Elephas maximus indicus: one gene and its partners. The protein of the gene in region 1 interacts with the protein of each later gene in a pairwise test. Links are inferred from orthologs where the notes say so. Each region holds a gene or a part of one and is shown on either strand. Other genes may lie near its edges.

Region 1 (7,599 bases):
AAGCTGAGTAATGAGATAAGAGAAGTTGAAGAGCTTGACAATTGGCAACCATCGGTGCCCTTCCTATCAAGTTTACTCCCTCCTGGTGGGTTAAAGAGCATTCAAAAACTAACGTAAAAACTAGAGGCGAGACCCAAAGAGCAGACTTTTGAGAGGCTTCCATCAATGGAAAGAAGGCAAAAGGCTCTCCTGGAGTGGGAGTGGATGGTGTCTATTGCCACAGGCAGTGCTTTGGGCAGATATCATGGCTCTGCATCTCAGGTTGACTGTGTTGGTTGAGAACTGTTAGTCTTGCAATGGAACACAGCCTTTAACTCCATTCCTCTCTCCACAGGTTCTTTGGACTTTACAAAACAATCCTGAGCAGAGACAGCCCACAGAGCAAGCGCTGATGAGCCTCATCCAGTTGATTATCTTTGTCAGTGTTGCTGTCCTCAATCAAATGTTTGATTTCAACAAGCCAATCACCGTACTTAGCTTTTTTTTAACTTTATATCTTGAAAACTTTCAAACTTACCGAAAAGTTGCAAGAATAGAACAATGAACACCCATATATTCTTGACCTAGATTCTGCAGTTGTTAACATCAGTCCACATTTGTGCACGCTCTCTCTCTCATATTATTAATATTATTATTTTGACCATTTGACTATACTATTTAAGAGTAGTGGTAGACATCATAATTCTTCACACCTCCATACATCAGCAGCATCTCCTAAGGTCAAGAACATTCTCTAACATAACCGTAATACGAACGCCAAGTTCAGGGAATTTAACATGGCACAGTGGTTAAAAGCTTGGTTGCTAACCAAAGGTCATCAGTTTGAATCCACCAGCTGCTCCTTGGAAACCCTATGGGGCAGTTCAACCCTGTCCCATAGAGTCCCTGTGGTTCAGAATTGACTTGATGGCAACGGGTTAATATTGATACAATCCTATTATCTAATACATAGTGCTCATTCAAATTTTATCAATTGTCCTAGTCATTTCCATATGGCAGTTTTTTTTTTTTTTTTTTACTGATCCAGTATTTAATCTAGCCATCATGGTATTGCATCCAGTTGTCATGTCTTTAGTCTCCTTTAATCTGGAACGGTTCCTCAGCTTTTCTTTGTTTTCCATGAAATTAACATTTTTGAAGCATTCAGGTAATTTCTTTGGGTTTGTCTCTCTGATGTTTCCTCATGATTAGGTCCAGGTCATCCATTTTCAGCGGGAATATCACAGACATGATGACTGTCCTCAGTGCATCACGTTGTTTTCTTATTTGTTCTAGAATTGCTAGTCAGAGAGCATGGGTAGATATTTGTTCCCCTTCTGGTTTTAAAAGTCAGAAAAATCATTAAGAAGGAGTGAAGAACACACACATCCAAGTCAGAGTAAAACACATCTGTAAAGCATTGTTAAGGAGTCTCTGTGTGGTGCAAACAGTTCAGTGCTTGTAGCTGAAACGTTGGTGCTTCCAACACACCCAGAGGCTACTGTTCTTATTTAAATTTTTTTTTTTTTAGCATCGTTACTGGTTATAAACATAGGTACCAGGTCAAAAGTTTAGCCCAGAGGAGACAGACCATCTGGACGAGAAAGCAGTGAAGTGATAGGCTAAGGGTATCATGGTGACAGGAATCCAGGCCAAGCTTACGCTGGATGAGGATGAAGCTTTCTTTGGTTAATCAATTTGTCAATCACCATGATGTTTATTAGTACCTAGTATGCGTTCAGAAGCCCTAGCTTGCCTGCTAACCGAAAGGTCTGCAGTTCGAATCCACCAGCTGCTCCTGGGAAACCCTCAGAGGGCCACTATGAGTTAAGAATCGACTCGACAGCAACAGGTTTGGTTTGGTTCAGTATGTGTTCAGTACCATATGTGAATTGGTAGATGGGTAGAAGACATAAGGTATCGACTGAGGCCCTAATATGTGCCAGGCACTTTATTAGCTTTTGTAAACAATATAGGTATAACTCTAATGAGTGGTAGATAATTCCAGTGGGAAACAGATATTAACCAATTAATTAGACAAATAATTACAGTTGTGGTAAGTGCTCTGAATAAGCACTTGAAGAAATACTAGGTTATGAGAATGAAAGGTGAATATGACCTACTCAGGGAAGGTTTCTTCCTGAAAGTGACAATTTGAGATTTGAGAGATAAGTAGGCATTAATTAGTGAACGTAGGGGTGTATCAGTTACTAACAGTTTGGCTGCAAGTAACAGAAAACTCATGTAAATGGTTCAAATAAGACAGAGATTCCTCACCTGTCTTAGTTATCTAGTGCTGCTATAACAGAAATAGCACAAGTGGGTGGTGTTAACAAAAAAATTAATTTTATCACAGTTTAGGAGGCAAGTTCCAAATTCAGAACGCTGGCTCTAAGGGAAGGCTTTCTCTCTCTCTCAGTTCTGGAAGATCCTTGTCTCTTTGGCTTCTGCTTCCTGGTTCCTGGAGGTCTCCATGTGTCTTGGCATCTATCTTCATTTCTCCTGTGTTCCCTTGTTTAATCTCCCTCATATCTCAAAAGAGACTGACTCAAAATACACCCTACACAAATCCTGCCTCATTAACGTAAGAAAGACAACCCATTCCCAAATGGGATTATACCCACAGGCATAGAGGTTAGGATTTACAACACATTTTAGGGGAACATAATTCAATCCGTAACACAACCCCGATAACAGAAATCCACAGGGTAGTAGTTCAGGACTGGTGGGACAGCTACACAGTTGATTATCAGAACCCATCTCTTTCCATCTTTTTGCTCCCTCATCTTAGCACTTAGCTTCCATCCTCAAGGTCACCTCATAATCCAAAATAGCTCCTAGTGTTCTCACCATTACATATACACTTCAGGCATACAGAAGAAGCAAAGGGAGAAAGAAAAGGGTGAGCACCAGCTATCTGTCAATTCCTTTAAGAAGCTCTCCCTTCTATCTAACTGATTACACTTAACTTTAAGGTTGAGAAATGTAGCTTTTTATTTTATTTTTTTATATTCTTAATGACATTTTACCTGATTTAGAAAACAGTGCTTGTATAAAAATTCATACAGAGTTTCTAGAAAGCATTCAATTACCAAAAAAATATCTGGGCTCCTATAATATTCAGGAGCCCTGGTGGCATAGTGGTTAAGAGCTTGGCTGGTAACCAAAAGGTTGGCAGTTGGAATCCACCAGCCACCCCTTGGAAACCCCATGGGACAGTTCTACTCTCTCCTAGCCGGTGGCTAGGAGTTGGAGTCAACTTGAAGGCAATGGGTTTTTTTTTTTTTTTAAATAATATTCAGTTTTCTAAGGATGCCCTCGAATCAATGGTAAAATGTAGATTTTATGTGAGATTTCATTATTTTTGGTAAAGCTATTCTCATTTTATTGATATCCTTTTGGTGTTTAATACCCACTTGGTACAAGTCAGGAAAACATGAAGGCTGGCTCTATATCAAGTATTAATACTATTGTCGTATAGCTTCAGTATCATCTGTCTGCACAGCTAAGGAGGGTGAGAGACTCCCATTAGTCAGGCAAGAGGCAAACATCTGGAGAAAGAGGTGAGAAATAAGCCAACCATATACAGTGAGGCTGTGACACGGTCAGACTAACAACTCTCAGCATTTCAGTAGCCAATCTCCTTCAGGACCAAGGAAACCCCACTGGTTGGCTAATGAGTGCACATATTATCAGGAAGGACCAGTCCATGGAGTAGGGAATCATGCTTGGTAAAATACAGAGACACTGAAAAAGAGGGAGACCTCCTACATACGGATCGACACAAAGGCTGCAACAATGGACTCAAACAGCGACGATTGTGAGGATGACACAGGACTGGGCAGTGTTTCCTTCTGTTGTACACAGGGTTGCTATGAGTCAGAACTGACTCAAAGGCACCTAAGAAGAACATGTATCACAGGTCCCTGGGTGATACAAATGGTTTGTAGCCCTGGCGGTCTGGTGGTTAAGAGCTACAGCTGCTAAACACCGCCCCCCCCCCTCAAAAAGACAGCAGTTCCACTATTCACTGAGTCCGAACCCACTCCACCGCAATGCTTTTTTTTTTTCTTTACTAACCTAAAGGTTGGTGTTTTGCACACCCAGCCGGGCGATCTGCTGCCATAAAGCCTAGAAAACCCTGCAGAGCAGTTCCACTCTATAACATATGGGGTTCCATGAGTTGGCATCATCTTGACAGCAATGGTTTGTGGTTTGTTTCTTTTTTATGCACCAGATATTGTGCTAGGTTTATGTACACGATCTCATTTAGACCTTAGGACAACCCTACGAGGTTGGTACCATTATTACCTCTATTTTATAGATTAGGAAACAGACAAATAGCCTATTGCCTGAGCCTTCTCTGAATAAATTCCTGTTAATTAAACGCCCGATAAAGCGCTAAACTAACAAAATAACAAAGCTCTTTTCTGACCACCTGGGCTGAATTCTTCACGCGTGACATCCCCATCTCCTGCCACTCGGTGACGTCACAACCAACCTCACCACTTATGTTTCCTGCCAAACGCCACACCGCTACTATCTCGCGAGAGTCGCAGTTTCCGCCAACAGGTCCTGAACTCGCGTGCGGCGTAGAGCGCTTTGGCTAGAGAGGTTTGACGATTTCCCCAGGCTAGAGTTTCAACAATGCACTGCTTTCCTTGCAGCCACTCGAGATCTCGCGAGACTTTCTATTCCTGTCCTCCCCACCCCCAGGTTGCGACTGCGCAGATCGCCTCAAAGCAGAAGGTCGCGGTTGGAGGAAGTGGCGGCTTTAGGTCCCGTGGCCCCAGCGCCGTTAGTACTTCTCTGAAGCTCACCTCGGCCGTTTGCCGAGACAGCCCGCCACCAAGATGCCTCGAATTATGATCAAGGGGGGCGTGTGGAGGAATACTGAGGTGAGTCTCCTTTTCCCGCCGTCCGCTGCCCTCCGCCCCCTCCGGCGGCTTTTGCGCACGCGCGCGGGCGTCGGGGCGGTCAGGAAGATGCCCTGCGCGGTCTGCGTCTTCTCTGGGTGCCCCAGCGCTTGCTTTTTGAGCTCCTGAAGGACAGGGACCGTGATTAACCCGACTGAATACCCAGCCCGAGTTCACTGCCAGGCACTTGTTAGGTCCTCACTGAACATTTGCTGAATTTGGAGGCTGCTCCCCGCTCTGGTGGAACTCAGTGTGGAGGGGGAGAATGGGGCATCGGCGAGAGTTGGTTTTTCGGAGCACCTCCTTCTCGGCCTGGGCACCCGCGCCTCTCTCCAGTGCTCAAAAAGAGGAAAATAAAGAAGTGTTGTGGCCACAACTTTGTTTCTTTATTGACTCCCTGGCAGAGAGGAAGCAGCTTGAGTGGCAGGTTCAAGGATCCCGTTTATACCCGTATCCTTCTGGTTATCTGTTATCAAGGCATAACCTGCCTCTTCTCCCGACAGATGCCAAGATCCATCTCGTCCTATCTTCCTGGCACTCCGACTCAGCCTGGATAATAGATAGGACAGACTGTGTGTAGCAGTTTCTGCTTCCAGAACTGTAGTGGATTATGCCATTGGCGAGCCAAAGGACAGTAGAGGAGTGAAACAGAAATAATACTTTAGTGCAATTTGTATTCAGAGCGCTCTGAGTTTATCTCTTTTCGGAGCACATTTTACATTCTGTACCCTCTGCTTCAAATGTCCTCCTACTGCTTGGCACCTTGAGCATTCAGACCTCAACCCAGAAACTTGTTGTAGTCTTTGCCCACTTACCAGAATTAATTGCATCCTCAGTGGTCTCACTGTACTTCTTTAATTAATTTGTTAGCTTGCTTTGTCGTTTTTTAAGGATCATGTCATTTCTTTGTGCTGCTGGGAGAGTTTCTTAACCTCTGAGTCCCACTCTCCTCATTTCTTTAAATAGGAGTGATAATAATATATACGGAGCTCTGGTGGTGCAGTGGGCTCGGGCTCAACGGCGGTTTGAACCCACCAAGTGGCTCCTCAGGAGAAACACCTAGTGATCTGCTCCTGTAAAGATTATAGCCTAGAAAACCCTATGGTGCAGTTCAGCTCTGTCACATGGGGTCACTAAAAACCCCAAAACCCAGTGCTGTCGAGTCGAATCTGACTCATAGCGACCTTATGGGGTTACTATGAATTCAAAATCCACTTGATAAACCAAACAACAGTACCTAGCTCTTTAGGATTAAATAAGTTAATACATTTGGAAAATTTAGAACAGAGTCTGGCAGATAGCACTGCAAGAGGACAAGGACTAGGTCTTAGTGTTCCTTGGATCTAGGCCAATAACCAACATGAAGTAGGTAGCTTGGCAAATGTTTGGTGAGCGAAACTAGGGGGGTAAAAGCGGTTGCCGTGGAGTTGATTCAGAGGCATGGCAACCCCTTGTGTGGTACATAACTGCTATATATATAGTTAGTTGAAGATGTGTTTAAGTACAGCAGTACTGTAACAAAGTTCCAAATGAAGTCAGTGAAAAGCCTGCCTGACAGCTTGCACTGAGGGAACCAGGCTATTTAAAGTGGAGAAGAGATGACTTCTGGAGGAGAGACATACGTACAAAATCAAGTAACAACAGGCTTCCTATACAGTGCTCAAAGCCCTGCAGTCTTTTTTATGTCTGATGATGAAGAGGGGGCACAGTGCGGTGGCTCAAGCAGAAGGCATGTAGCTCAGGTTGAATGTGGAAAAAGTCCTAAAAGTAAAATGACCCAAATGCATTCATTCATGACTGCATTGTCCCTGGATTCTCTGGCTCAGCTTGCCAGGTGGCTCAGCATAGGGACCCTGTGGAAATAGTATCTAAGAGACTGGGGGAGGTTGGAGAGAGAGCTTACTGGTGGGGTAGGGGAGAAATATGTACTTCTTAGGTTAGATCTGGGACATGGATTCTTGAGTCATGGTGAGAGTTAAGGACTGGAGAGTAAATGTCATGGATTAGCAGGAGTCAGGAGGCCTGGACTGAAGAATGGATTCACTCGAGTCTTGATTTGCTTCTTGAGCGCTGGGAGGTCTATTTAATTCTTTTTCCCCATGTATATAGGACCTAGTACAAGGTTAAGTGTTCAGGAAATGTTTTTTGAGCTAACGAATACATGAATGAGCTATACCCTTTTGAAGAGAATAATGGTTACACATTGGAAGATACTTTTAACCTACCAAGTATGGTTTTTTGGATTGGACTGTTCCCACTCCCAGTTTATGGGGATGGGAGAATGTGCATGTGAGGGAAGGTGGGATGTTCTTCTGATGACCTTCTTAATTTCTTGGATTTTGCAGATTCTGGCTTGCTGTTTATCATTATAGTAAATAAGATGTTAGGACCTCTTTTTTTTAAACCTAGGATTTGTAGGTGTGCATGTATGTATCCTTTTCCTTGAAATTTTTCAGCAGCCCTGACAGTTAATTTAAATTTTGTCTTTTCTCATTTGGACTTTAGTGATTGAATGTATTATATTTCTTTGACAATTCTTTTAGGATGAAATTCTGAAAGCAGCAGTAATGAAATATGGGAAAAACCAGTGGTCTAGAATTGCCTCGCTGCTGCATAGAAAATCAGCAAAACAGTGCAAAGCCAGATGGTATGTACCAGTTAATGAATAGAAAACAAAACGACCTTAATTATGATGAGGGAAAAT
Region 2 (7,074 bases), on another chromosome or scaffold:
TCCACCAGGGTCCTTCCACTGCTGTTGTTAGGTGCTGTCAAGTCGGTTCCTACTCCCTGTGTACAACAGAATGAAACACTGCCTGGTCCTGCACCATCCTCACAAGCACTGCTGTGTTTGAACCCATTCTTGCAGCGCTGTGTCAGTCCATCTCGTTGAGGATCTTCCTATTTTTCGCTGACCCTCTACTTCACCAAGCATGAGATATCCTTCTCCAGGGACTGGTACCTCCCGATAGCATGTCCAAAGTACCTAAGACGAAATCTCACCATCCTCACTTATAAGGAGCATTGTGGCTGTTCTTCTTCCAAGACAGATTTGTTTGTTCTGGCCAAGACCCATTGCTGTCGATTCCTACTCATAGTGACCCTACAGGACAGAGTAGAACTGCCCCGTACAGCTTCCAAGGAGCACCTGGTGATTCAAACTGTCGCCTGGTTGGTTAGTAGCCTGAGCTCTTAACCACTGCGCCACCAGGGCTCCCGTTCTTCTGGCAGTCCATGGTATATTCAAAATGCTTTACTAACACCATAATTCAAAGGCATCAATTCTTCACCAGTGTTCTTTATTCATTGTCCAGCTTTTGCATGCATTGAGGCACCTGAAAATACCATGGCTTGAGTCAGGCACACTTTAGTTCTCAAAGTGACATCTTTGCTTTTAACACTTTAGAGAGGTCTTTTGCAGCAGATTTGCCCAATATAATATGTTGTTTGATTTCTTGACTGCTGCTACCATGGGTGTTGACTGTGAATCCAAGTAAAATGAAATCCTTCAAAACTTAACTATTTTCTGTTTATCATGATGTTGCTTATTGGTCCAGTTGTGAGGATTTTATTTTCTTTATATTGAGGTGTAATCCATACTGAAGGGTGTTGGTAGTCTTTGATCTTCATGAGTGTGTGTTTCAAGTCCTGTTTGTTTTCGCCCCGTTCTTCATATAGTCCACTTTCTCGAATTATTTGTTCAGCATAGAGATTGAATAAGTATAGTGAAGGGATACAACCTAACACACATCCTTCCTGATTTTAAATCACACAGTATCCCCTTGTTCAAGCTGCCCTTTGAAATCTTCTGTTCAGCTTTTACTTCATCATTTCTTCCATTTACTTTAGCTACTGTACATTTAAGGGCAAGTTTCAGAGTCTCTTATAATATCCATTTTTGTCTTTTCTTAATTTCCTGTCTTTTTAACAAACTTTTGCTTTCTTCATGTATGATGTCCCTGATGGCACCTCACAACTCATCTGGTCTTTGACATTGATGTTCAATGTGTCAAATCTATTTTGAGATGGTCTTTAAATTAAGGTGGGGTATACTCAAGATTATATTTAGGCTTTCATGGACTTGTTTTAATTTTCTTCAGCTTCAATTTGAACTTGCATATGAGCAATCGAGGAAACCCTGGTGGTGTAGTGGTTAAGTGCTACCGCTGCTAACCAAAGGGTTGGCAGTTCAAATTCACCAGGCGCTCCTGGGAAACTCAATGGGGCAGTTGTACTCTGTCCTATAGGGTCGCTATGAGGCGGAACCGACTCGACTGCACTGGGTTTGGTTTTTGGTTTTTTTGGTTATGAGCAGTTGACAGCGTGTTCTGCAGTTGGTCCCCGGCCTTTTTCTGACTGATGCTACTGAGCTCCTCCATGGTCTCTTTCCACAGATGTAGTTGATATGATTCCTGTGCATTCCATCTGGTGGTGTTTCTGTCACCAAGACCATAGTTTCCAGTTACCAATCCTCCTTCTTTGTTTCCTGCTTTTGCCTTCCAATCATCGGTAACTATCAGTACATCTTGATTGCATGTTTGATCAATTTCAGGCTGCAGAACTTGGTAAAAATCTCCAGTTTCCTCACCTTTGGATTAGTGGCTGTGCGTAAATTTGAATAATAGTCATATTAATACTGGCCTTTGTAATAGGTATATGGATATTATTCTATCACTGACAGCACTATACTTCAGGATAGACCTTGAATGTTCTTTTTGACAATAAATGCAATGCCATTCCTCTTCAATTTGTCATTTCTGGCATAGTAGACCATATGATTGTCTGATTCACAATGGCCACTACCAGTATATTTACCTCACCAATGCCTGGGATAACAATCTGCAACCATTCCATCTCATTTTTGATGACTTCCAATTATCCTAGATTCATACTTCGGACATTCTATGTTTTGATTATTAATGGATGTTTGCAGCTGTTTCTTCTAATTTTGACACATGCCACATCAGCAAATGAAGGTCCTGAAAGCTTGACTCCATTCACGTCATTAAGGTCGGCTCTACTTTGAGCAGGCAGCTCTTTCTCAGTCGTATTTTGAGTGCCTTCCAACCTGAGGGGCTCATCTTCTGGCACTGTATCAGACAATGTTCAGCTGCTATTCATAAAGTTTTCACTGGCCACATATTTTTAGAAGTAGATCACCAGGTCCTTCTTCTAGACTGTTTTAGTCTGGAAGCTCGGCTGAAACCTGTCCACCATAGGTGACCCTGCTGATATTTGAAATACTGGTGGCATAGCTTCCAGCATCACAGCAACACACAAGGCAGCACAACAGGACAAACCCAGAGATGAGTGCTGGTTCATTTGCTACTGTCTTCTTTTTTTGCCATACTCACTTCCCTCATGTTGTACCCAGGGATTCCCCAGGACCCCTCCTAAATATCCCATCTAGAAAGAACTCCAAGGGTTTTTCAGAACTCACCAGTTCGAGTTTTATTCCTTCAGGGCTGTGCTAGCATAAACTAAAATAGACCAGTGTTTCCCAAATTTGCATAGTGATAATGCCAGACTCAACTGCACAATCTCCCGAGAGGCCTGTGCCAAAGCATTCAAAAGAAGATATGGCATGGCTCCCAGATGGACGTCTGTCTGAGTTTTAATTAGGGCTTTGAACTGGTTCTTCCCAGTTTAGTCATGGGTGAAGAAGCGAAACCAAAACAGACCCAAATTTTTAAGACTTGGGTGAACTGGAACGATAACCAGAATTTGAAAAAAATTGTGAGTAGAAGCCTTGCTAGAAACTTAGTCTCCCCCTTAGAAAACAAAGGCAGCCAACGAAATCTCTTGTCTGTTCCATTTTGAGAAGAGCAGGAAGCAGCAGTGCCCTGCTCAAAGATGGCGCCCACCAGGCCTGGGAATGTGTGTGTTGGACTCCACGGTCCTGCCAATAATCCAGTCTCACACATCAGGCTCCTGAAAGGGCTCACTACACCTCTTCTGAGTCTTTAATTCCAGGGCTTCAACCTGTAATTTTCCAGATCACACAAGCTGTAAAAATTTGGATCTGTTCTGGTTTTGCTCTGGCCATGACTGAACTGGTTCAAACCGGTTTGAAGCCATGGTTTTAAAAGCTACTTTTAATGAAATGAGAAAGTTGCTGTGGTAAGCCTAGTGTCAGATGTTTTTGTGCCTGAGCCCTTTCACAGCAACCAGTTCCCTTAACTTGTAGCAGATAACCTCCTGTTCTGCTTCACTGAAAGAAAAAAAAAATGAGGCTCTCACAGATCAACTTCCTTAATTTCTTGTCCTTCCCTACAAACTTACCTGTATTCATGCTCATGCTCATCCTCATCCTCATCTGCCCCCCCCCCCCCCCCCCGTCTCAGAGCAGCAGTGTCCTTTGTATGGAAAACACTTCTGCTTGATGCAGTAACTGCATTGTCTAGACTCTAGAGATACCCTTCAGGGTTATCTGATTCCAATTCTGTGGAAGCTATTTTACAAGTCTGTACATTGTAGATAACTGGTAACAGTGCAAAATGATTCTTTTCTATAGACAGGTAAATTCTGTCCTGCCCAATACAGGTTCAATTGACTTCTCTGTACCACTCTGGAAGAAGCTGGTTTTGCCTCCATTTGCGCATGCATTTCAAAATGCCGTTACTCCATATAAATTTGTGCGTTTTTGATTTCTCCTTTGAACTGGTTGTAGCATCTGCATTGTTCCTTCATTGATTAATACGTTAAATAAAATCTTTAACCTGTTCATTTTATGTCTGTATGTGAGACATGATTTTATGTATATATATATATATTTTTTTTTTTTACATTGTCTTTTAGCAATTTGGAGGTCTTCGGCTGAGATGCCCGATGGATTCACATATCAGAACCAGGTATACCTTTCACCAGAGAAGTGCACCTCCTGAGCAGCTTAAAGCCCAGGAGCATCTTCTTTTGGCTCCCTTAGTGACACTAGAACTTTGCTGATTGTTTTTATAATTTAATTTTCTTCTCTCCTAATTTTGTGGTTTGTCTTTGTTCTGTTTTCAGCTGTTAAGTTGTTCCTCACTCCTGGTGGCAGTGACTGGGAATTTGGTTTTATGGTCTGTTTGGTGATCTCTGTAAATGGACTAGTGTTTTATAGAAATCTAGTCTCTTGTTGGCAGAGAAACAACAAAGAAATTAGTTTGTTAGTCTTATTTTTTGCCTAAATTTGTCAGTTTTGGGTACAAATCAGTTAAGAATGTTGTGCCCACTGAGAGAACACCTTTTTGACATCTGATGCCTTTTTGTGCTTCTGTATTTACTCTTGACCCATGCCTGAAATTTGGAATTGAAGGTGTGAGTTCTTATCTATACAGAAATATGTATGTAATTCCGAAAGGTCTTCACCATTCATGGTATGAGTGTATAATGTTTTCTTAAATCTGGATGGTATTTATAAAGTAGATGATAAAATCTCCTAAATTAAAGGTGCCCTCTTCTGAACAGCTTATGAGATAAATAAGTGCTTATATAAATATAATATTCCTGTAATTCCCAGGAACTAAGGAAATGGAATTTCTAAAACTTTAAATATGCTGGATTAAAAAAATATTCTTAAACAAATCAGCTCAGGTACATTTTAAAAATTCAAATTCAAATAATATAGGTAAATCTTTGGCAGACTAGACTTGTTTAATACTTTCTGTTTAATAAAAACAGCCATGTCTTCTCTGATTTATCAGTGTTTAACTCACACACACTCATTTTTATTACACTTGGGTAGAGTTTTCCTGAACTTATACAGGTTCACTGATAGGCTGGCATTGCTTCTACTTAATATTTGATTATGAAAAGTATAAATTTGTGTTTGACCAAACTGAATCCTTATTCTAATGAACTTTATTTCAGTAGTAATCATGTTCTGTAGTAGGTCAGCTTGACAATAAATTTTCCAAGATTTTTAGGTAACTTAAAACCTTGGAGTGGTATTAAATTGGGTTAATTAATGGATAATCATTAGATATCTAGATCTTTTCTAAGTAAGGTAGAAATTGTTAATTTTAATATTAATTACCAAGCATCAGTTTAACTTATGTAAGAGATATTAGTGACTGTAGAAAGCTGTATATACTCATGAGCTCTCTTAGTCTGATAAAATGATGGAATATGACAGTTCAAATTATCTACCCTCCATTTTTGTCTATGAAATATGTTTTTATATTACTTTGGTTAAAAGATATATTATAAATGATTGAGATGACACTTAGAAGCAATAATTTCAGAGAAATATAACTGTGTACATGCTTCTGTTTTTTAAGAGAAAGAGTAGTTTTGTCCAAAACAGTGGAATAAAGTTTTTTTTTAATAATATCATTTTTTTCTATCTCTGATCTTCTCTCATTATTCTCTCTCTATTGTCTGTGGTAGTTCTCCTTTTTTATGCCTGATGTTGATAATTTGTGTGTTGTCTTTTTATTTTCCTGATAGACTGGCTAGAATTTTATTATGTTTTAAAAAAAACAGTTTTTGGTTTCATTTATCTTCCCTAATGCTTGTCCATTTTCTATGTCACTTATTTTTCCTTCCTTCTTTCTACCTTAGATTTAATTTGCTCTTCTTTCTGTAGTTTCTTAAAATGGAAACTTAGTTTGTTGATTTTAGAACCTTCTTTTTTAATATAAGCATTTAAAGCCACTGCATTAGCTAGATCTCATACATTTTAACGTGCTATGTTTTCATTTACATTAAGTTCCAAAAGAAACAAACCTGCCTTTGCTGTGTCCCAAAGGTTTTGGTATGATGTGTTTTCATCCTCATTTGATTCTAGGAATTTTTTGATTCCGTCTTTGATTTCTTCTATTACCCAGTGGCTTTTAAGCAGGGTGACATTTTCTTTGTTCCCCTTACTCTTCTGTGCTGAATTCCTTTTGTTTGTGAATTTTTTTTTCTTTAATTTTTGTAGATTTTGTGTATACTGAGACTTTGTTTTTCTTCTTTATTTTGACGAGTAGGTTTGTTAACTTTCTTTGTGGTTACCTTTAAATTTACCCTTTATCTTCCCTAAGTCCTTTATTACTTGATATCACCTTGACTTCCTCTTCATTTAAAAATTTTATACCTCCATTTGAAAGTTTATTCTCTCTTTTATTCTTCTGATGTTGTTTTTATTTACAGATTGACCTCTCTGGTTCCCTGTTGTAAATCTCTTAGTTTTGTTTTACCCTTGAGAGCTCTTTACCTAAGTTGGTATTTGGCTGATGGTGTCTTGCATCCTAGATTCAGGTAGTTGTCTGATGTTGCTGGTTCTCTAACCAAAGGACTCCCTTTAATAATTCTTGTAAGTTTGGTTTGGTTTTTATGTATTACCTTAATTTCTGTTTATCTGGAAATGTCCTAATTTCACCATGGTACTTGAACAAGAGTTCTGCAGGCCATATTATTCTTGGTTGGAAACTTTTTTTTTTCAAGGTTTTATACATGTCATCATATTGCTTTCTTGCCCGAATGGTTTCTGTTGTGTAATTAGAGCTTAATCTTATTGTTTCCCCTTTGTACGTGACTTTTCCTTTTTCTTGAACTATTCTCAGGATTCTTTGTCTTTGGTTTTAGAGAATGTGATTATGTCTTGGTGATTTTCTTTTGAGGTCTATCCTATATGGGGTTTGTTGAGCTACTTGGATGGTAGCTTTTCATCTTTCATGATATTAGGGAAATTTTCTGTTAGCAAATCTTCAATGTCTGTCTGTGTTTACTGTTTTCCTCCCTGTTCTTGAACTCCAATCCCACGTAAATTTTTGCTTTTGATTGTATCCCACATCATTCTCAGGGCTTCTTCATTTTTCATCATTCTTTTCTCTGATTTTTC
Region 3 (7,006 bases), on another chromosome or scaffold:
TTTCTCCATTAGAATTACTTACAACAACTTAATTTTCAGGAAAAACATAACTATAATGAATAAAAAAAAATTTACCTCAGGTAAAATCTTTCCCCTGAATATACTATCCTAGTTCTGTTTTTCACTACCATGGAGCATTAGACATTCACACACTTTTGGCTCTTAGATCAGTATAAAAGGTTGTGTTTGATTTAATCATCTGAAAGACACTGTGATGAGGAGCTGCTTAGGAACTTAGAAAGTCCAGTAAATCTATACTCAGAAGAATTTGATTTGAGCCCTTGCTGAGTCCCTTCTGAGACATGTGAACCAACGCAAGGCACATCACCTCTCACAACTTCAATTTTCTCTTCTGTAAAGATAATAATGCATGCTTTTTTTTTTATTAAATAAGTCCATTGTAAGCATCCAATGGGATACCTAAGAACATGTAATAAAAATATATTGTTACATATTCAAGTAGTTATTTCTATTACAAAGTTACCAACATTCATCTTTATAGAAGGAATAGGTACTTTACCTTTATGACTTATTCTGCTTACATGACTAAATGTTTAATTCTACTGGGTACTTATAACCCTCCAAATACAGGTTAAAAAAAATCAAACTATGCAAAAGTTACTTAGGAAATAAAATAAATACATGCTGCATTATTTTTCAAAAAACATTCAACCCAGATGATAAATCTAAAGCCTTTCCATCAAAATTAGAAGGAAAAAACCATGTCTACAAAAAATAAGGCCATTTTCATGAACAAGCTTAGTTTCTTGTATTAGACTTCAGATTCTGGCCAATATAAATATCAAAGTATTGGCAAAATCTTTAAAATACAGTGTAAGTGAGTGATCTCAGAAGTGCACTTTTTAAGTATTAAAAGCATTTAAAAATCTATATTCAGTGTAAGAGTTAAACATCCTCTTATAGAATGGATGACATCTGAAGCAACTTGTATGGTCCAGAAGGCTCTGGTCATTTAACATCTAAGCATTTTTCACCCAGATACACCACTTTTAACTTTAACAATCATTTTCAGTATTAAAAACTGCATTGCATGATGTAATTCCTGAAAAAACTAGGAAGGGGCATACTAATAGTTTGCTTTAATATTTGCCCTTTCATCACCCCCTACCCAAAGTCAATTGGATATATAAACTATGTCATCCTCATCTGAAAACTGATGCCTTATTCACTAAATTACTGAAGGTTTCAAGACCTAGTTATATAAAAAAAAAAAAATAGATACTATTTATTTTGTTGTGAAAGAAAGAAAATAATAAATTTGGTTGGTTTAATTAGCTCAGTGGTTAAATTTAGCTTGAAGAATTTATGTCAGGAAAACCAAGTCCCTTATTCTTAGCACATAACCTTGACTGTCTTCTAAATCCCTCAGATTTCAAAATAAAAGTTTTGAATGCCCACTGGAGTCATTGCCCAAGGGCTTTCAAGACCCAGTGTGTTCCTTAGCAATATGTACCTGTACCTATTCAGACATGACAGAGCTACAAAAGGTTTTTTTGTTTTTGTCACTGAACCACTTTAATCAAACAGATCCATAGAATTTACACTGTACTAGAGGCAAAGATGCCATTATTCTCTACAGTTAGTTTCTTCTGCAAAGATTTAGTCTGAAGGACCACGTAAGCTCTACCTCACTTAACCCACAAGGAGTAATTCAGCAACAGAAGTCCTAGCCATTGTGTAATTTCATTACGGGAATATTCCTCTTTGAAATCCCCGGTCCTCAAGAAACATTATCATCAGCTCTAATGGAAGCATTTTGCACTTTCTTTACCCCAATCCATTTACATATGGCTTAAGAATCAACTCACCCCACACAGCTGGACAGCTATCTCTCAGCCACACCCCCCACCACCACCCTGAAGAAGTTGACTTCAAAATTTCCACACTAAAATTCTTCATCCTGCCCAACAGGAGAGAACCAAGTAGGGAGGAGGCAGAGAAATAGAAGGGATGGGGGTGGAAAGCAAAAGGTACCTAACAGTAATTGGCAAAGAGGAATTTGCATCTCATCTTCCCTGGGGGCGGGGTGGGGACGGAGGGTGTTAAAAAAAAAAATTAAGAGGAAGAGAAACCGTGTAACTCAAAGAGTTTCTGTACCTAATATCTGTAATTTCGGGTCCTGTTTCTTCAAATTGATCAATGACAACCGCAGTCTCGGGGTTGACGAGAGGGTAGGCTCAGACCCGACACTCCAGGACCATTTCCCTAGCAACGGGAGCAGAAAGGCAGCTTAGAGACACGCGTGCCCCGGCGCCCTCCTGGAACGTGCCCCGGCTCGGTGGCTTGGTGGCAGCAACTCGGCATCTTCCAGCGGCTCCGTCAGCAGCCAAAAGGAGAAGCGTCCATCGGAAAAATGGCATATTACAAATTTTGCTTTGGGAAGCAGAGCTCGGTTCAGACCATTCTCAAAGGGAGGAGGGGGGAGGCGGCTCTTAAAGCAGCAGCGGCCCCTTTGCCGGATCAGCCGCAGCTCCCCGCGTACAGCTGGAGACCCGGGGCGGAAAGCCGGGAACGCGGGGACTCAGGTTCACTTTCAGGAACTTAACCAAGCGGCCCTGCCCCCTCTTTGCGTCCGGGCCACCCAAGGGTGTCCCTTGAAACGTGAGCAAAAGGCGTGAGAGTATCTGGAAGGGAAGTTCTCCACCCAGTCCTCCACCCCGAGACCCTCTGGAGTTTACGGCTAACGTCACGAGCTGGAACGCTAAAGGGAAGCCAGCCTCCAGGGATAAGAGAATCAGAACAGTTCCCCTTCTGGCCCCCAGCCCATTTCCGAGCTAGAGTGTCTCATTGCACTTAAAGGAGGTGCTTATTCTCCGGAAAGGCAAGCAGCCAGCCCCGCACACCCAGTTTTCCCTCCCAGCCTCTTTGCAAGCTGCTTTCGCTTGTTTCAGTTGGCGGAGAGAACCAACCTGCTGGGAGCCGGCGAGGATGCTACAGCATCTTCTCTCCTCACTTCCCTCGGGTTGCTGCTGCTACTCCTTCTCCTCCGCCCCCTCCCTGCTCGGCAGCCGCACCTCCTCTTCCTCTGGAACAAGGGCTTCCCCTGGAAGCTGCTGCAGTGGTTTCCACCGGCCCTTAAATAAATTCTGAAGTAATCACGTCTTTGCTCTCCTCCTCACGCACACGCGCTCGCGGGTACACACGACTCCCGCGAAGCCGCTCCTGAGCTGCTGGAGCTCACGTTGGTCCCAGTGCCCCCGGTGAAGGCTCGGGCAGAAGTAGAAAGTGGATGCGCTCTCCTCAGCCTGGGCTTCCCACACACAATGATCTCTGCAGGAAAGAGTGTGTCAGTTCTCGCTGGTGGGAATGCGAATGGGCTTAGGCACCCCCTGGCTCTCTGGCCTTCCATGCTTGTCATTGCTTTAAGCAGCTTCCGTCTCCCGGGACCCGGGCATAGTAATTTTGATTGTAGGGACCTCAGTTAATCTAGGGTGTGGCGGCATCTGTTATTTCTGATTACCCCTCCGGATCTTCACTCATTACTTTGGCGATGAGGATTGTATGATTGGAATAACCCCTCTCTGCCCCAGTGAATTCGTCTTGGAAGTCTGGTCTCTTGATCGCGTTTCAATTCTCCCTATACCTACACATCCCTTTACCTACTCATCTTTCTTTCTGGCCCTGTTGTCCATTCACACAGACCCATTAGGGCTGGAGAGAAAGCAGGAGACAAAACCAATACCTATACTAAGCAGAAAAGAAACCTTCCAATGTGGGAGACTCAGCTATTCTGTTTTTAGTAAAAATGAAAAAGACAAGGGTGAGAGAATTTAGAGAATGTTTAAACATTGGGTATAATGTGTGAGCAAGTGTGAGTATACTTAAAAATTCAAGAGGTTTATTTTACTTTTATGTAAGCAAAGAGTCTGAAGCTATCTAAATAACAGTACTCATATGCCAGCATACTTGAATAAAGTACACTGTGCAAGAAATAACCTTTCTTTCTGGGGTAGCATTTAATTTAGTGACATCATAGTGGCATCATGAGGTCAAATTTCTAATCCCTTCTCACCTAGACTGTCATTCAAATCCTGCATCGCAAGGTAATCCTATAAATTTGAGATAAGTATAGGAATAATATCATAATTAATTACATGTCAACTGCAGCACTGCTTTCCAAATATGATGTGCATATGAGCCACCAATGGATCTTGTTAAAAGGTAGATTCTGATCAGTAGGACTGGGTGGACCCTGAAAGGCTACATTTCTAACTCCTAGGGACCACAATTTGAGTAGCAAGGATCTAGTCCACCCAATCAACTTACCATTTGATGGGGCTTAAATAACTTTAACCACAGGAAACTCATTATCTCATCAGGCAGCCAAGGCCACTTTCAGACATACCTAATATTGTAACAGCTTCTTCATATTAATCATATTATCAGTACCTATTATGGACTGAATTATGTTCTCCCAAAATATGTGTTGTAAATCCTAACCTCTATGTCTGCTGTAATAATGTCATTTGGGAATGGGTTCTTTGTTATGTTAATGAAACAGGATTAGTGTAAGGTGTATCTTGAGTTAAAGTCTTTTGAGATATAAAAGAGATGAAACAAGCAAGTAGAGGAGACATGGGGTAAGATAGATACCAAGACTCATGGAGATCTCCAAGGAAATAGGAAGCAGAGGCTGAAGAGACAAAGATCTTCCCAGAGAACCAACAAAAAGAGAAAGCATTCACCTAGAGCCAGAATTTGGACTTCTGTCGTTGTTGTTAAGTGCCGTCCAGTCAGTTCTGACTTGTAGCGACCCTATGTACAACAGAACAAAATACTGCCCTGTCCTGAGCCATCCTCACAACAGTTGTTATGCTTAAGCCCATTGTTGCAGCCACTGAGTCAATTCATCTCATTGAGGGTCTTCCTCTTTTTCACTGATGCTATACTTTACAAAGCAAGATGTCCTTAATCAGGGGCTGATCCCTCCTGACAACATGTCCAAAGTACGTGAGATGTAGTCTTGCCATCCTTGCTTCTAAGGAGCATTCTGGTCATACATCTTCCAAGACAGATTTGTTCCTTCTTTTGGCAGTCCATGGAATATTCAATATTCTTTTCCAACACCACAATTCAAAGGGGTCAATTCTTCTTTGGTCTTCTGTATTCATTGCCCAGCTTTCACATGCATAGGAACTGATTTAAAACACCATGGCTTGGATCAGGCACACCTTAGTCTTCAAAGTGACATCTTTGCTTTTCAACATTTTAAAGAGGCCTTTTGCAGTAGATTTGCCCAATGCAATATTTCTTGACTCCTGCTTCCATGGATGTTGATTATGGATCCAAGTAAAATGAAATCCTTGACAACTTCGTCTTTTCTCCATTTTTCATGATGTTGCTCATTGATCCAGTTGTGAGAATTTTTGTTTTCTTTATGTTGAGGTGCAATCCATACTGAAGGCTGTGGTCTTTGATGTTCATCAGTAAGTGCTTCAAGTCCTCTTCACTTTCAGCAAGCAAGGTTGTGTCATCTGCATAACGCAGGTTGTTAATGAGTCTTCCTCCAATCTTGATGCCCTGTTCTTCATAAAATTTAGCTTCTTGGATTATTTGCTGGATACAGATTGAATAGGTATGGTGAAAGAATTCAATCCTGATGTATGCCTTTCCTGACTTTAAACCGCCCAGTATCCCCTTGCTCTGTTCAAAAGATTGCCTCTTCATCGATGTACAGGTTCCTCATGAGCACAATTAAGTGTTCTGGAATTTCCATTCCTCACAATGTTATCTGTAATTTGTTATTATCCACACAGCTGAATGCCTTTGCATAATCAATAAAACACAGGTAACCATGTTTCCAGTATTACCTGCTTTCAGCCAAGATCCACCTGACATCAGCAATGATATCCCTGGTTCCACATTCTCTTTAGAATCCAGCTTGCATTTCTGGTGGTTCCCTGTTGATGTACTGCTGTAGCTGCTTTTGAATGATCTTCAGCAAAATTTTCCTTGCCTGTGATATTAATAATATTGTTCGATAATTTCTGCATTCGGTTGGATCACCTTTCTTGGGAATAGGCATAAGTATAGATCTCTTCCAGTCAGTTGGCCAGCTGGCTGTCTTCCAGATTTCTTGGCATATATGGGTGAGCACTTCCAGGGCTGCATCCATTTGCTGAAACATCTCAGTTTGTATACTGTCAATTCCTGGAGACTTTTTTTTGTTGTTGTTGTTTCTTGCTAATGCCTTGAATGCCGCTTGGACTTCTTCCTTCAGTACCATTGGTTCCTGCTCATATGATACCTCCTGAAATGGTTGCACGTCAACCAATTCTTTTTGTTTTATAGTGGTTCTGTGTATTCCTTCCATCTTCTTTTGATGCTTCCTGAGTCATTTTATATTTTGCCCATAGAATCCTTTGATATTGCAACTTGAGGCTTGAATTTTTTCTTCAGTTCTTTCAGCTTGAGAAATGCAGTGTTCTTCCCTTTTGATTTTCCATCTCCAGATCTTTGCACATGTCATTATAATAGTTGACTTTGTCTTCTCGAGCTACCCTTTGAAATCTTCTGTTCAGCTCTTCTACTTTATCATGTCTTCCCTTCACTTTAGCTACTTGAAGTTCAAGAGCAAGTTTCAGAGTCTTTTCTGACATCCATCTTGGTCTTTTTTTTCTTTCCTGTCTTTTTAATGAGCCCTTGCTTTCTTTGCGTATGATGTCCTTCATGTCATTCCACAACTCGTCTGGTCCTTGGTCATTAGTGTTCAACATGTTTAATCTATTCTTGAGATGGTCTCTAAATTCAGTTGGGATATACTCAAGGTCATACTTTGGCTTTCGTGTACTTGTTCTAATTTTCTTCAGTTTCAACTTGAACTTGCATTATGAGCAATTGATGGTCTGTTCCACAGTTGGCCCCTGGCCTTGTTCTGACTGATGATATTGAGCTTGTCCATTGTCTCTTCCCACAGATGTAGTCGATTTGATTTCTGTGTATTCCATCTAGTGAGGTCCATGTGTATAGTTGCTGTTTATATCAG

What was found. The genes of interacting proteins can lie anywhere in the genome.
Region 2: the proteins of CDC5L (region 1) and AKAP6 interact in a two-hybrid assay, tested with the Homo sapiens proteins (2 studies listed by BioGRID and IntAct). The link is inferred for Elephas maximus indicus from reciprocal best matches to the Homo sapiens genes CDC5L and AKAP6.
Region 3: the proteins of CDC5L (region 1) and PPFIA2 interact in a two-hybrid assay, tested with the Homo sapiens proteins (2 studies listed by BioGRID and IntAct). The link is inferred for Elephas maximus indicus from reciprocal best matches to the Homo sapiens genes CDC5L and PPFIA2.

Annotation. Positions count from the first base shown.
Region 1 is NC_064819.1:108,943,174-108,950,772, forward strand, and holds the start of CDC5L (cell division cycle 5-like protein), read left to right. Parts: upstream 1-4,594; 5' UTR 4,595-4,832; coding exon 4,833-4,877; intron 4,878-7,438; coding exon 7,439-7,542; intron 7,543-7,599.
Region 2 is NC_064828.1:44,568,760-44,575,833, forward strand, and holds the start of AKAP6 (A-kinase anchor protein 6), read left to right. Parts: upstream 1-4,069; 5' UTR 4,070-4,094; coding exon 4,095-4,117; intron 4,118-7,074. UniProt on the Homo sapiens protein: Binds to type II regulatory subunits of protein kinase A and anchors/targets them to the nuclear membrane or sarcoplasmic reticulum. May act as an adapter for assembling multiprotein complexes.
Region 3 is NC_064822.1:144,442,145-144,449,150, forward strand, and holds the start of PPFIA2 (liprin-alpha-2), read right to left. Parts: upstream 3,006-7,006; 5' UTR 2,931-3,005; intron 2,227-2,930; 5' UTR 2,119-2,226; intron 1-2,118. UniProt on the Homo sapiens protein: Alters PTPRF cellular localization and induces PTPRF clustering. May regulate the disassembly of focal adhesions.